Linked DNA regions of Saccharomyces cerevisiae S288C. The protein of the gene in region 1 purifies or fractionates together with the protein of each later gene. This does not show direct contact. Each region holds a gene or a part of one and is shown on either strand. Other genes may lie near its edges. The genes, in order: TSA2 and FRA1.

The links.
Region 2: the proteins of TSA2 (region 1) and FRA1 purify together in Saccharomyces cerevisiae (affinity purification with western blotting; 2 studies listed by BioGRID, with this or other methods). This does not show direct contact.

Annotation. Positions count from the first base shown.
Region 1 is NC_001136.10:1,364,419-1,367,732, reverse strand, and holds TSA2 (thioredoxin peroxidase TSA2), read left to right. Parts: upstream 1-2,070; coding exon 2,071-2,661; downstream 2,662-3,314. Other genes in the region: bifunctional K:H/Na:H antiporter NHX1, read right to left, coding at 1-248; GUK1 (guanylate kinase), read left to right, coding at 906-1,469; PPN1 (endopolyphosphatase), read right to left, coding at 2,831-3,314. UniProt on the Saccharomyces cerevisiae protein: Thiol-specific peroxidase that catalyzes the reduction of hydrogen peroxide and organic hydroperoxides to water and alcohols, respectively.
Region 2 is NC_001144.5:79,653-84,456, forward strand, and holds FRA1 (aminopeptidase P), read left to right. Parts: upstream 1-1,808; coding exon 1,809-4,058; downstream 4,059-4,804. Other genes in the region: mannose-ethanolamine phosphotransferase GPI13, read right to left, coding at 1-553; RRT7 (Rrt7p), read right to left, coding at 704-1,045. UniProt on the Saccharomyces cerevisiae protein: Involved in the regulation of the iron regulon in responss to decreased mitochondrial iron-sulfur cluster synthesis.

The DNA.
Region 1 (3,314 bases):
TGAGTTAAATAGTAACTAGACCACAATGCAGAGATCAATAGGAGCAACATAATGAACAATGCCCATGAAGAGAACATTTCTTCTGTAACAGGGTTTAAGTCTACATCAGGATCACCTGCAATAGGGTCATCGCTACCCGGGAGATCCGGGGAAGGTAGAAGTTCATCATCATCGTCAGGATCAACTGCTCTCTTGGCGGTGGTTAACAGCACCTTGAAAGCTATATTCAGCAATACCTTGGATAGCATTTTTCATATGGTATGTACTGACAGCGATAAAAGATTATCCTCTGAATTTCACTGCTTGCAATCTATGTTTAATCTACAACTATTTGTCAATCTTGGGTGCCCTTTATCTTAGAGTAGCTAGAAAAGCAACGGAAACAGAAAAAGTCACACCGTGAATAATGATTGTTCGATATCAACTTTTGCAGTTCCTTGCTATCACGTTTGTGCAAGGTATATCATCTGTCATAATCCTTTGGCAAGACTACTGCTCTGCTACTCCTTGTGTGTGCTCACGGCAGGCTACAATGCAAAATTCATCCTAAACTCTGCTCTATAAGCATTAATAAGGTGAAATTTTCACAGCCTTTACATAAAAAACGACAGTAAGTGTATAAATGTGATTGTCAAAACTGCGACGATTCGAAATGATAGCTATTTGAAGTGTAGGTTATATCGACAGGAAGTTTCGGTTCTCGAAATATGTGATGCGTCTTTCCGGCGGCGTCGATGCTAATAGCAACCGTACTCATCGGTACATTCCAAATTTCGAAAAAAAGCTTGGAAACACATAAAAAAGAAAAAAAAAAATACATTTAGCATAAATGGATACACAATGGCGTTTCTTTTTAGTTGATAACTACAGTTTACTTCGGATAAAGATTAGTAAACCTTTGCGTTATGTCCCGTCCTATCGTAATTTCTGGCCCAAGTGGTACAGGTAAATCTACACTGTTGAAGAAATTGTTCGCTGAATACCCAGATTCTTTCGGGTTTAGTGTTTCATCCACTACTAGAACCCCAAGAGCTGGCGAAGTAAACGGTAAGGACTATAACTTTGTCTCCGTAGATGAATTCAAATCTATGATTAAGAACAATGAATTCATTGAATGGGCGCAATTCTCCGGTAACTACTATGGTAGTACTGTCGCTTCCGTCAAACAAGTCAGTAAATCTGGTAAGACTTGTATTTTAGATATTGATATGCAGGGTGTCAAATCTGTCAAGGCTATCCCAGAGTTAAATGCCAGGTTTTTGTTTATTGCTCCACCATCGGTCGAGGATTTGAAAAAAAGATTAGAAGGTAGAGGTACGGAGACCGAAGAATCCATCAACAAGAGGTTAAGCGCCGCTCAAGCTGAATTGGCATATGCTGAGACAGGTGCCCATGACAAAGTTATTGTCAATGATGATTTGGACAAGGCCTACAAGGAATTGAAGGATTTTATCTTTGCAGAAAAATGATGTAGCCCTATATAGACATTACTAAGTATGTACCTGGTAGGAGAGTGCTGTCGCAAAGCGACAAAACGTCCAATTATTCAATTAATATAGTGTAAAAGTTCTCAACGGGCTTATGCTAGTTTTTTTTGTTAGTAAGCGCTACGACGACTAGAACCATCTCTTGAATTTCCAAGTGCCAAAATCAATGACCACGGATACTGTGGCCAGGAATCTGTTGGTTGGTCATCCTCAAGATCTAGACAATATCATATTGGGCCAGTATCTGATTATCTTAACTATATGCGCCCCTCTAGTTTACAAGTTTTAGTCATTGGGGGTTGGAAGGGCTGATCCCCCCTTACAATTGGCGTCGTTTAGGAGCGGGCGAGGCTCTCCTTTCTCTTACACATCTGCTAAGGTGTTTGTTACCCGAGTAATCAAGGATCAACTATGGATGAGATTTAGATTAACGTATTTAGAGCAGACGATTGTAAGAATATATTTTGTAATTTCGATTGTTTTTTGCTACTTACATTGTTTATCTTGAAATATCCAAAGTGAACACTATTACTGTTTTTTGCTCAAGAATATATTAGCCTTACAAGAACGTAAAAAACCAATCATGGTAGCAGAAGTTCAAAAACAAGCCCCACCATTTAAGAAAACCGCCGTAGTCGACGGTATCTTCGAGGAAATTTCACTGGAAAAGTATAAAGGTAAGTACGTTGTTCTAGCTTTTGTCCCATTGGCTTTTTCATTTGTCTGTCCAACTGAGATTGTTGCGTTTTCCGATGCCGCCAAGAAATTCGAAGATCAGGGCGCCCAAGTTTTATTTGCCTCCACCGACTCTGAATATTCCTTACTGGCATGGACCAACCTTCCCAGAAAAGACGGTGGATTAGGTCCAGTTAAAGTTCCTTTGCTTGCTGATAAGAATCATTCCTTATCCAGAGACTATGGCGTTTTGATTGAAAAAGAAGGTATAGCTTTAAGAGGTTTGTTCATAATCGACCCGAAGGGAATCATTAGACATATCACTATCAATGATTTATCTGTTGGCAGAAACGTCAATGAAGCTTTGAGATTAGTCGAAGGTTTCCAGTGGACTGACAAAAATGGTACAGTTTTGCCATGCAACTGGACCCCAGGAGCCGCCACCATCAAACCTGACGTTAAAGATTCCAAGGAGTATTTCAAAAATGCCAATAATTAATCTTCGCACGATAACGCTAGGCCCTATTAAATAATTAAAAATACATCACCCTATATATGATAAGAAAGATGGTTTTGTATTATTATGAAATTGACTTGAAAGAATAGTGTAACAAAAGAAAAAGAAACTGTAATTGAAGAATGATATGCATTTCTATGTGTATATTAACTTAATCATCTTTATATCCAGAAGACGCAAATGACCATTCGACGTATTTTTCCCATGCAGGTTTGTTTTCGTATAATCTGCCTGCAAGATCCAAATAACTTCCTACTGTTAACGAATCCATTGAGTATGGTTTCTCGTCTGAGGTATATTCTATCTCATACCTGAAAATATCCTTAGATTCAACAAATGAATTATGTAATTCTTGATTGATTTTTTCCAAGTCGGCGTAGAATTGGACGAAACGCGTCGGAGTGAATAACTGCGGTACATATGCAGGGCCGAGTTCGTATTTGTCTGGCATCTCAATTGGCATAGTCTTGTCATTTTTCTTTTTCTTCTTGTTTTTCTTTTCGCCCATCTTCTCGCGGTTGATCCCAACCTCGATATTACTGCTGTCCATTTCATCTTCTAGCAAAGAGTCTTCCATAATCTTATTTAGTGACTCGAAAAATTCATCCCAGGGCTTATACTCCGAAACTGCAAAA
Region 2 (4,804 bases), on another chromosome or scaffold:
CAGTCTTATTTGCCAAATGGAGCTGTTTAAGAAAGTTATCCTCTTCGATTACTGTTCCATCGAAGTTAGACCCGGCATCAATGAAAGTCGGTAAGGACCCTGTTGTGAGACCCTTGAGTCTTTGTAAAGTAGTGGTTGGTGGGTCGGCAATGAACTTCAACAATAGGGAAGATGCATCCTTATCGCTTGCAAAAGAATCATACAATGATAATATATTATTATGATAGTTCAAGTTGTAATTAGAGTGGGATTCGTTTACAGGAATAGCGAAATCAAATCTCAAAGCGTCAATAACCAAAATCACCGCCTTGTTGAACCTAGGAGGTAACTTACTCGTTTCGTTTTGTGAGGAAATATTATCAAGAACGTGTCTTGACAGTAAGAATCCCCGAGTGAAAAAAGCTATTGATATGAATTGTAAAATGGCGATGAAAACCAATAGAATAATATAAAATTTATGATTCTTTTGAAATTTCTTTATTCGCGATTTGTATATTATTTTTTCATCATTGGAAGATGAAAGAATCGACTTTTTAATTGTCTTTTCATCCATATTACGGGAGCTTTTTTTTTCCACTTAATGTATTGATCTTCCTCCCGTTCTTTGACGATTCGGCGTTGCCCTTAAAACATATGCTTCTATTCCTTTTTTGATCTTACCCATTTATTTGTTTTTTTTTATTTTCCGGTGGACAACAAAATGTTAAAGGAAAAAAGAAAGTACCTTGCTCGTCATCGCGCTTGCATAATGTGCGCCATTACCCTGTAACAAAAACAAAAGATAGAGTGGCAACAACTTGACACAACTTTGCAATTGTACCATGAACCCCAACAAGAAAGGCGGTTGAGAGTAAATGATGTGGTTTGGTTCCTTTTTTTTCCTACATTTAAGGTTCATAGAGAAGAAAATTTTCTGAAATGTCTTTTCCTCTTTTAATGAATTGTAAAAAAGCCAGTATTGGAATAATATTCTATTCAATATAGTAAGAAAAGAGGCAATGGGCAGAAATCTTCTCCCGCATAATCCTTTAAATGCAAAATACATGTTAGGCGTCTAAATTTTTTTCAGTGAATCCAGATGCAGAAACATTTAAACAATAAATATCTTAAACCCATTTTGAAGCATCGGCGGCTAAAAAAATGATTTTGCATGGAAAAAAATGAGAGCTGTGAACCCAATAAAAAAGACAGCTTTTTAAAAATGTATAACGGTACATTAAGCTCTTGTTTATTCCTCAAACTGCTCCTAAAAACCATCCTCTCAAAAATAATAATGATAGCTGAAGATTATCTGCCACGAAATGCCATTGAGCCGCTTACTTGTAGGTTTTCATGAGTAATAACGAAGATAATTTACCCGTCTTTATAACCCACGTAAAAATAAACATATAATTATTTCTTATTATTTCAACTAACCGTTAAAGTGTTCAAATATGGTAGAAAGCTTTCCCTATGTGCATTATGATTATCTTTTAGCCGCCAGAGTTTAGTTTAATTTTGTTTTGTTTTTGACGACTTCTGGTGTTACCCGAAGGTATATCCCCGGGTGACCCCTAAAAATCGCACCCCATTTTCCCGAATTTTCTTCTACGTTTTCTTTTTTCAGAAATACTTCGAATGAGGGATGGAACAAGAAGGAAGCGACATACAAAAACTGAGTCAGTTTAGTCTTAATAGGTGCAATATTTACAAATACAGGAAAGGCAGGAAGCACTGGCAAAAAGACTGCATAGCTAAAAAAAAAAAGAATAAAAAAAAAACGGAGACCTCAACAGAGCGAAACCAATAATTACAAACAAAATCTTCATATGACTTCGAAACCATCCACCAGTGACGGCAGGGCTCACTCGATTTCCCATGTACCTGGCACGCACATGAGAGGAACATCGGCATCACACAGCCCCAGACCGTTTAGGCCATGTGCGGATTGTACGTGTTCTCCAGGCTTACTGTCTAGGCAAGGTCGTAGAGCCTCTCTATTTTTAAGACAGTTAGAAAATTCAAGGAGGTCCTCCAGCATGCTTCTCAACGAGTTGAAGGGCGCTGGCGGAGGTAGCAGTGCTGGAAATGGGTCTGTTTACTCATGTGACTCTCTATGCGCTGTTAACAGGGAAGTTAACACTACTGATAGATTGTTGAAGTTGCGTCAGGAGATGAAGAAACACGATTTGTGTTGTTATATTGTGCCCAGTTGTGACGAACATCAGTCCGAATATGTATCATTGCGAGATCAAAGGCGCGCCTTCATTTCAGGGTTTTCCGGATCGGCCGGTGTAGCCTGTATCACCAGAGACTTGTTAAATTTCAACGATGACCATCCGGATGGGAAATCCATTTTGAGTACTGATGGAAGATATTTCAATCAAGCTAGACAAGAACTAGATTATAATTGGACACTTTTGAGGCAAAACGAAGACCCAATCACTTGGCAAGAATGGTGTGTCAGAGAAGCTTTGGAAATGGCCAAGGGACTTGGCAATAAAGAGGGAATGGTGTTGAAGATAGGTATTGACCCAAAACTTATCACTTTCAACGACTATGTTTCTTTTAGAAAAATGATTGACACTAAATATGACGCAAAGGGTAAAGTGGAGCTGGTTCCCGTGGAGGAAAACTTAGTTGACAGTATTTGGCCTGATTTTGAAACTCTACCTGAAAGGCCTTGTAACGATTTACTACTGTTAAAATACGAGTTTCATGGTGAAGAATTCAAAGACAAGAAGGAAAAGTTACTGAAAAAGCTGAATGATAAGGCTTCCTCTGCGACGACCGGTAGGAATACTTTCATAGTAGTTGCGTTGGATGAAATTTGTTGGTTGTTGAACTTGCGTGGATCCGACATTGACTATAATCCAGTTTTTTTCTCCTACGTGGCTATTAACGAAGACGAAACCATTCTTTTCACCAATAACCCCTTCAATGATGACATATCGGAATATTTTAAGATAAACGGTATTGAAGTCAGACCTTACGAACAGATATGGGAACATTTAACAAAGATAACTTCGCAGGCTTCTTCTGCGGAGCATGAATTTTTGATTCCTGATAGTGCATCGTGGCAGATGGTTCGTTGTTTGAACACCTCAACCAACGCTAACGGTGCAATAGCTAAAAAAATGACTGCACAAAACTTTGCGATAATTCACTCACCCATCGATGTTTTGAAATCTATCAAGAATGACATCGAAATAAAAAACGCACACAAGGCGCAGGTCAAAGACGCAGTATGTTTAGTGCAGTATTTTGCATGGCTGGAGCAGCAATTAGTGGGGCGCGAGGCACTGATAGATGAATATCGTGCCGCAGAAAAATTGACCGAGATTAGGAAAACCCAAAGGAACTTCATGGGCAATTCCTTCGAAACAATATCCTCCACAGGTAGTAACGCCGCCATCATACATTATTCGCCGCCCGTAGAGAACTCTTCGATGATTGATCCTACCAAGATATATCTTTGCGACTCCGGTTCGCAATTCTTGGAGGGTACAACTGATATAACAAGAACAATTCACTTAACAAAGCCAACCAAAGAAGAAATGGATAATTACACACTGGTACTTAAAGGTGGCTTAGCCCTAGAGAGGTTGATTTTTCCCGAAAACACTCCCGGGTTTAATATCGACGCCATCGCTAGGCAGTTTTTATGGTCCCGCGGGTTAGATTACAAACATGGCACAGGCCATGGTATCGGATCATTTTTAAACGTTCACGAAGGACCCATGGGTGTCGGCTTTAGGCCACATCTGATGAATTTCCCCTTAAGAGCGGGTAACATAATAAGTAACGAACCAGGTTATTATAAGGATGGTGAGTATGGTATCAGGATTGAAAGCGACATGTTAATCAAGAAGGCCACTGAGAAGGGTAACTTCTTGAAATTCGAAAACATGACTGTGGTTCCCTATTGCAGGAAGTTGATCAATACTAAGTTACTAAACGAAGAAGAAAAAACACAGATTAACGAGTACCACGCAAGGGTATGGAGGACAATAGTGCATTTTCTGCAGCCTCAGAGTATTTCATACAAGTGGCTGAAAAGAGAAACAAGCCCACTATGACTTCGAGGCGAGCGGGGCGCAATACAATTAATGTTAGTATTTATTCTAAGTAGTTTCTTTCTTTTTATTTAATTTGAGTGATAACAATAACAACAATAATGACTAAAAGGTGAAAATTGAAAACATTACCTTCATTTTTTTACGGCCGGAGAGGGGTAGGTACACTTAACCCCGAGCGCTTTTAGTGCCAAAAAGAGTTAATGTGCGTAGTCGGATTTTAAACGACCATGCATGTACAGCCCCCTAGTGATTTATACTGATGCCTCATCAAGAAATTTTTTCATCCAGGGTCCCTGCTCGGCGAACCTTTCCGCAAGAGTCACAAAAATCAATCTTATAACCAGGCACCAGTAGTACTGCCAAGCTTGGACTACATAGCCAACGTAAAGACAAGGAGTCTGATTTAGTATTTCTTTTTTGCCAGCCAGTATTTTCTGCGCAGGATAGATTATTTTAAGAGCCGAGAATTCCTTATGCGGGCCCGGTCACAACGGATTATAGGTTCCGCCAGACCCCGTTGCTTTGGTTCCATGGAGCAGGAGCAGGATTTTCCGTGGAAAGAGAAGCACCGAGCGAAAAGCGGATACGGAAGGCGGATGCGGAAACGGATGCGGACGCGGAAGGAAGGAAGGAAGCAAACCCTTCCGTCTATGTCGCTATGAAGCCGTCTCACAGTAGAGCCATTCGAGATTTCCGTCCGTCGGTACACAGAAATCTTCGTATCGGGAGTTTTACTTTAAAAGGAA